Arabidopsis thaliana: one gene and its partner. The protein of the gene in region 2 interacts with the protein of the main gene of each other region in a biochemical or structural test. Each region holds a gene or a part of one and is shown on either strand. Other genes may lie near its edges.

Region 1 (3,928 bases), on a different chromosome or scaffold from region 2:
AACATGCTGCTCACAACATCTTCTGCCTTCTGGACAACAGATTCTGCACCGCTGCTCTGTGTTTCCTGAGAAAATTAACACAAATTAACACCTCTACGAAATTACTGCTCTATTGAGTGTTGAGATGAATACTTTTCACTAATCAAAAAGAAGAAAAACAGTATGAAGAAGACATTACAGCATGAGGGGCTGCTGGTGGACTGTAGTTGGGAGCCAACTCAATGATGACTGATTGATCGGCAATACTCGCTCCCTGAAATAACACCCCTTGTTAGTAATGCAAATTGCAAATGGTCCCAAATATTAGTTGTAAGCAAACTAATTTTACTTATAAATACTCAGAGATACTTTGTCTGGACTAGAGAAGTATAACCATATTAAACGAAGGTTTATAGACATGGATTGATTACTAAATTAACAGTGTTATGTAAGAGTTGAATGCTACTACAATAATATTGAGATAAGAGTGAACCCACAGATAAGAGCACAGCAGTCTCTGCTCCTTGAGTTTCTTTAAATGTGACATAAGCACTATGCTCGTTACTGCTAGTTAGAAAAAGAAAACAAAAACAAAGCTCAGAGTCAGTAAGTTTAAGAGAACTGTATCTAAATTTGCTGAGAAAAAGCTTCGGAAGTTAATTGATCAAAAAAAGCTTTAAATGTCAAAATTTTGAAATCAAAGAACAAGGAAACAATATCACTAACCTTTGGATATCGATGCTTTCAACTTCACCAGAGAAAGAGAAAAACTCTTTAATATCATGCTCAGTTGCTCCTGAAGAGAGATTGCCAACTTTTACTGACCTTACCTGTGACTGTCATCATAAAGAATCAAAAGGGAAAGAATCATTAACGAAAACAATAAACAGGTGTTTCATGAGAATGTTTACAGTACAACTACTTTTTGTATCCAAGCATATCTAATCGACCGAAAGTCCCATTTTAATCAAATCAGCTCAAACTCAAAGAAGCCTAGATTTATCACAAGATTATACAATTATGCAAGTAAAGGGATAATATTATAGTGGCTTAGAAGATGACTGTCATCATCTCACTATACAAAAAGAAAACTCGAATGAACCATGAAGGCTACCAATTAAGGAAACTAATCGACAATGTATGGAGGAATCTAAAAGTAAATTGGCTAGCGAGATTCGGTTCCAAATTGAGAATAACACAATCGCGATTTACTACGATAAACGAAAACCAAAACCGAGAAATCAAGGAGATAATAGAGATAATTGCACGAATACAGATCACACAGAGATACAGAATCAATTAATAACGACAATAATAATCATCAAACTCGTCCAAATAGCATTGGAGATATTATGTCGGCAAGTGCAGCAATCAAACAACAGATCATCCAAATTGAAGAAGAAATCAAATCAATAGCCAAAAATATCAATCCTGAGAAAATTTCCCGATAAACAAATGGATCGCAACAATATCTACCAGCAGAGGAAACCTAAACCTTTTCCGCATAAAACAAAATTATACACAAAAAAAAAGTAGAGCATACCGCCATGGATGTTGATCTTCGAAGTCGCGCAGAGAGAGAGATATGTAATTTGTTGCTTTTGTCACGCAGATTCAGAGATTGGCCTGAAAACCGAAACGTACTTCGAGATCGATGATGCGTAGATAGATAGAGAGGGAAGAGTGTATTTTGCTTTATATGACACCTCACACTCAACGTGTGGGTTTGCGTTACGCCCTTTAATCCTATTTTAGTCCCTAATTGTTTCCAACAATTAATATTTTCACTTTTTTAGTATATATTTCTATTTTTTCCCTCTTCAGTTCAAAACAAAAGTTAGGAGTTTCGTAACACAATTATTAAGTTTATGTTTTATTAGAAAAAAATACATAAAAATTTTACTTTTTATCAACAAAAATATATCATTGTTTTTCTATAAAAAGTGGTTTATGTATCAAAGTGATTACTGTAATTATTAATTCAGTCATAAAATATGATAACTTGGTAATTACAAAAAAGTTGGACTTCTCCTTGTTTTTGGCCCAACTCTTCTCTTTTCCTTTTACTAAACTCCAATGTAGCCCAAAATCATTTAACCAATCCTTATCCTGCAAACCCACTCAATTGGTCCGGTTTACTCGAACCGAGTTTCAATTTTACACGGAAGGGCAGGTGAGGTCAACAACGACACGCAGGATTCTTCCCTCGCAATGGCGTGTCACCGCCAAATAATTTATACGTATTAATAAATTCCCTCCACCACCATATTCACGCGGACCACATGAGATTAAATGATTTATACAAATTATAAAACAAAAATTAACATTAAATTTTGGGAAAACTTATAATTCACCTAACTCATTTCCATCATCTTCGTCTTCGTTTGTTCCCCTGAGATAGAGATAAGAGAATTTCGAGAGATTCGAGAGAAGAGACGATGAGTTTCCAAGATCTCGAAGCTGGTACTCGATCTCCGGCGCCGAATCGTTTTACCGGTGGGAGACAACAGAGACCTTCGTCTCGTGGGGATCCATCTCAGGAGGTCGCCGCCGGGATTTTCAGGATCAGCACGGCTGTCAATTCCTTCTTCCGCCTCGTTAATTCGATCGGAACACCTAAAGATACTCTTGAATTACGAGATAAGCTGTCAGTAGCAATTCTTAATCACACTCTTCTTCTCTTTGTTAAATCTCTGTTGATTAGGGTTTTGGTTTTACTTATTGATTTTGGTCGATTTCATTTCAATTTTTAATTGAAAAAGTTTTCTAATTGTTTTGAAGCTAATCCTGCATTATTTTCCCTTAACCGAAGAACAAATTTGAGTTTGCTGATCGATGTGAGACAACATTGCAAATAATGCCTGACAACATTGCAAATAATGAGCTTTTTGTGTGTGTGTGTGTGTGTGTGTGTATTGAGAAATTGTTTTTTTTTTAGATTGGTTTCATCTATTTGTTCTGTGAATTGTTTTAAAGTGTTAGGTTCTTTTGTTGGCAGGCAAAAGACAAGGTTACAGATATCCGAATTGGTGAAGAATACTTCAGCTAAACTTAAGGAAGCTAGCGAAGCCGACCTTCATGGATCAGCTAGTGTAAGCAAATGCTTACTTTTTTGTTTCATTCCCTTACGATGCTATGGAATGTTAGTGTCTAAGAGAACATTTTCTATTGAACCAGTTTTATTTTGGTTTAATTTTGTCAGAATCGTACCATTTTATTCATTTAGTGGGAGAATTGTTTACATGATTGATGATATGTGTATTCTAGTTTTGATGTTATGTTTGTATTCTTGCAGCAAATTAAGAAGATAGCTGATGCTAAACTGGCAAAAGATTTCCAATCAGTTCTCAAAGAGTTTCAGAAAGCTCAGAGACTTGCAGCTGAAAGAGAAATAACATATACTCCTGTGGTCACAAAAGAAATACCTACCAGGTAACCACTTTGACCAGTTATGTTTCAATACCTGTTAAAAAACAGAAGATCATGGTAAATGAATCTCGTTGTTTCCTAAATGAGAAGAAAAAAAGTCTCCGGATTATATACTCGCATGTTATTATTGTTGTTTTGTACAAAAGAATTTTTGAACGTAGGATTGTTCTGATATTTTGTGGAATGTGAGTTTCACTTACACATGCTTCATTGTCATGCCACACCATGCAGTTATAATGCACCTGAACTGGATACTGAATCTTTAAGGATCTCCCAGCAGCAAGCTCTTCTTCTACAATCAAGAAGGTGAGGAGTGTGATTTGATTATATGCTAGCATGTTATTTTACTAATTCATTTGATCAATTATAAGCATAAACCAAATGTTAGTCTAGCATGCATTTTGCTCTCGAGAGTTCAAATTCAAACCATCGTTACACTTGGCACTCACTGTAGCCTGAATTGTTAATAGAAGCCTTAGAATAGGTTAATAAATTTTTCGAAGTTGGTTATGTCCCTGGA
Region 2 (3,928 bases):
AAACTCGATTTATGAAATCTCAAACAGAGATAGTATTGGAAAATTCAAAATCTAATATCCTACTGCCAAATGAACTTAAAACCAATGTGAATCTCAAAGAGTTCTCTCTTATGATACCAGGACTTATACAGGCCAAATATTGCCGTGATATCTACCTAATCCTGTGAAGACCTTGAAACTAATCTGACTACTTAAACTACTAGTTTATCAAACACACCATCCACTTTGAGCATATTAACTAGTTGATGAACTCACCATCCTCTTTGAGCATATTAAGTAGGTGAGCCCTTGTGGGAAGAGCATACATCCCAAGAGAAACAGCTTTCCGTATAGCCCATCCATGGTGGGGAGCAAACACTTGAGCATAAGACTTAGTTGCTGGATCCTTCAAGGAGTTATCTCCTCTGCAAAAGATATCAAACTACATTTCAATCTTCTAATCTTGACCAAAAATAAAAGAAAACTACAACAGGACTCCATTTTTTCATTTACTTCAGTGTCCATATTTAAATCACACATCCTACAAACTGGCACGGCTAATGCATTTGATCAAAATTTTCACAAGAACTCAAATAAGAGAGAGTTCAGAAGAATCACTTACTCGGAAGCTATGATCTGTTCAAAGAGAACTTTGACCATGTCAAGACCACGCTTAACCCTCAAAAGGTTTCTCGTATGACTACCAGCTTTCCTTACACAATCTGCCTCAATATCTTTGTCCATCATTACCACTAATGTCGATATCGAACTCGACGCCCTCACAAGATCATCAACCTATAGTCACATTCACAAGTTTTAACATTTCATTTTCCAAAACATTCATCCTCCAGATAAACAAACACAACATCCATTTCCATCAAATTAGCAAAATTCAGTCTGAGTACTACAGAAACTAAATCAATTCCAACATCTCACAATATACTCAATAGTACATGAAAGTGAACACAACTAGAAAAAGATTCGGACTTTGATTCAAATCTACTACATAAACAAACCTTGGCAACATAGTCCATTTCCGCAAACTTAAAAGCTATTCCAAGGCAACCAAAGAGAGGCGAGACCAGAGAGCAAGCGTGAGAGAATTGCGTTACAGGAACTTCCGGATTCGGTGAATTCACGATGATTGCTAGTTTTTTGAAAGCGGCTGAGATTTTTCTCAGTGGCTTATCTGCTTCCGAATCCGCCATGGAAGATCTCTCTCCTTCTCTCTCTCTGTCGTCTTCTCCTGATTAACAAGTTTTGTTCTTGTGTGATTATTCCGATTGGTGTTCTGTGATTTGCCGCGGAATCTACTTTGCTGCAAGACGACTCAAAAAGGCGGCGATTCGCTGATCACTAATTGTCTTTGTTTGGCGTTCAGATCATTCCTATCCTTCATCTGGATAGTATTATCCTCACCGTGTGAATGAATAACCGAATCCAACCGAAATAACCTGTAGGAATACCGAAATAATAGAATTGAATCCGAACCAAATTCGGTTTTGTGCAATTGAACCGAAGAAACATAAATACGTATGCTTAAACTATAGATAGTAGTTGGGCAATAGACTTGTGTTGAAGCTACTTGAAGAAAAGATGATGATGATGATGAATTATGAATAATGTTCAAGAATTAAGATATGAAGCTTTCATTGGGATACTTTAGTTAAAAAGATTATCATCATCAACAAATGTGATTTTTTTCAAACTTTCATTTATGTTCCACTCTGGCTATACATATTTTTGTTTTTCGATTCTTTTCATTGATTAAAACAAGGTACCAAAATTATAGGTAGGGGATAATAATATTTAGTGGGTTATACTAATAATTATTGGGTAGAAGGAATGGCGGATGCAATTATTTTGATTACTTATAAAAGATAGTGACATTAATTGATTCTTAGGTGGAGCTTATTTTAAAATTAATTGAAGATTTTTATGAGTAATAATTTAGGATAAGTAGAACACAAAAAATTTAAATTTTTTTAAAAAGGAATCTGTTTTCTTGACTTTTTGAGCACATCATTTTATCGTTGGTTAAATAAATAAAAACAATTTCATCAGTTTTCGAAAAACGTCCACTTGCCATTTAACTCTGCCTTTACGGTTTCCGCCAATTTAAAATTCTCTAAATTTTCAAACTTTTCTCTCTCACCATCAAATTCTCTAATTTATTCTCTTTTTATAATGTTCCTCTCTTTTCTTCTGGATAATTACTTTTCATTATAGTCCCTATACTACTATAATTATCCACAACTGTCTCATACTTTTATAACCGTTTTATCATTTTCACCGGGTAAACTTAGAAACAAAATTGAGTTTCCGACATCGCATGATAATTTTAAATGTAAGGTACTTGCATGGAACTTTAAAAAATAAGAGGGTGAAAAACATAAATTAAAGTATAATATAGGGGTGTATATTTTGGGTTAAACATATTACACAACACACTCTTCCGCTACACACTGTTTACACTGTTCCTTACTTTTTTTTCTTTTTCTTTCGCCAACATCTCTCTCTCCAGCTATTTTCCCTCAATTTTTAATCGTCGTTTTCACTTTTGTTCGATTCCATTCAAAAAAGCTTCAATCAGTGAGCTGCGTTTTTTATTCTCTGCTTCATCCAGATCTACATTTCTCTGTTTCAGCCTCTATTGCTCTGTTTAACAAGTTCTCAACGGCCGGAATCGTCGCCGGGATTCTCGCCACCGGAGTTATTGTGAAACGGTGAAAATGGGTTTTTGATTTTACTGGTTACTTCATTGTTCAGTGCAGTAAGTATTTATTTTCCTTGTCCTGTCTTACTATTGGTTTATTTCCTTAAATGAAGAAACTTTATTTTCCCCGAATTTCTTCATTGCTAAAAACTCTCACTTTCTGCAATTTCGTCTGCTTGTTTCACTCACAAGAATTTCACATTTTTTTCAAAAATAAACACTGCTTAATGCGGATTGGTTGTTCACAAAAGGACCAAAAAATCGTAGAAGGTAACCGACAGTGTTAGCTGAAAGAAGCCAGAAACTCTGTTTGTCTGTGTTCTTGAATTTAGACAATCTACTAAAGTCCGTACTTTTTTTATTAGTAAATCCTGTTATGACCGGACCCAATAAAGTAGAGTAATTGTTACATGCGCGTTCCATTCCAAACAATGTGCGTGGGCCACTTGGTCATTTGATTCTGTATTTTTACTTCGGAGAAATTTGGATACAACAAATAAAGTAGAGAGATTGTGTATAATGAATAAAGTTTCCTTTTTTTTGTTAATGATTTGATCATGCGTCTCTTCTGATTTGAGTTTCTTTTGTATCTGCATAAGTTTGGATTGATTTCACTATGGAGGAAGTAGCAGCTAAGGTTGAGGAAGAAACTGTGGAAACCAATGTAGATGCAGTGAAAGAGGACAATGCAACTATAGCTAATGAAAGCAGAAGCCCAGAGAGTGTTTCTGCAGTGTCTGTGGTGTCAAATCGAGCTGCTTCTACTAAAAAGAAACCAGTTATTAGTTCGAATTTAATAAAGCCAACTGCGTCTTCTTCATTACGGGTCTCGGGTACTACGCCTGTGACTATCAGGAGAAATAGTACTGGAGGAGTAACAGAGAATTTAGCTGGTACCTCTAAGGTTCTGCCTAAGCAAGTGAGTACTACTGCCTCACGTACTGATCCGGTAAGACGATCACTTCCAGAATTGAGGAAGAGCTCTGTGTCTTCTCTTTCTGCTAAGACTGTATCCAAACCAAGCCTTTCCGAGAGTAAAAAGTCTGTCCCCGTATCACCAGGTAGTCGGAGTTTGACAAAGTCAACTGGGTTTAGTTTAAGTAAGCCTGAGTCTTCTGCTAGACCAGCCATGAGTGTTTCTGTGTCTTCGAAAAGAGCTCCATCTTCATCAGTTGACAGTAGTGGCAGCAGGACTAGTAGTGGAAGACTACACTCTACTCTCACAAGTGGGAG

What was found.
Region 1: the proteins of ACD11 (region 2) and BPA1 form a complex in vitro, tested with the Arabidopsis thaliana proteins (one study listed by BioGRID).

What each region holds. Positions count from the first base shown.
Region 1 is NC_003076.8:5,533,642-5,537,569, reverse strand, and holds the start of BPA1 (binding partner of acd11 1), read right to left. Parts: upstream 1,702-3,928; 5' UTR 1,529-1,701; coding exon 1,523-1,528; exon of another isoform or gene 816-1,522; coding exon 706-815; intron 547-705; coding exon 477-546; intron 254-476; coding exon 179-253; intron 66-178; coding exon 1-65. Other genes in the region: SYP21 (syntaxin of plants 21), read left to right, coding at 2,418-2,626, 2,978-3,071, 3,275-3,411, 3,640-3,714.
Region 2 is NC_003071.7:14,627,684-14,631,611, reverse strand, and holds the start of ACD11 (Glycolipid transfer protein (GLTP) family protein), read right to left. Parts: upstream 1,627-3,928; 5' UTR 1,188-1,626; coding exon 996-1,187; intron 775-995; coding exon 602-774; intron 405-601; coding exon 256-404; intron 1-255. Other genes in the region: AIR9 (Outer arm dynein light chain 1 protein), read left to right, coding at 2,803-2,965, 3,295-3,928. UniProt on the Arabidopsis thaliana protein: Exhibits selective intermembrane transfer of ceramide-1-phosphate (C1P) and phytoceramide-1-phosphate. Does not transport ceramide (Cer) or GalCer, suggesting a requirement for phosphate in the headgroup for functionality.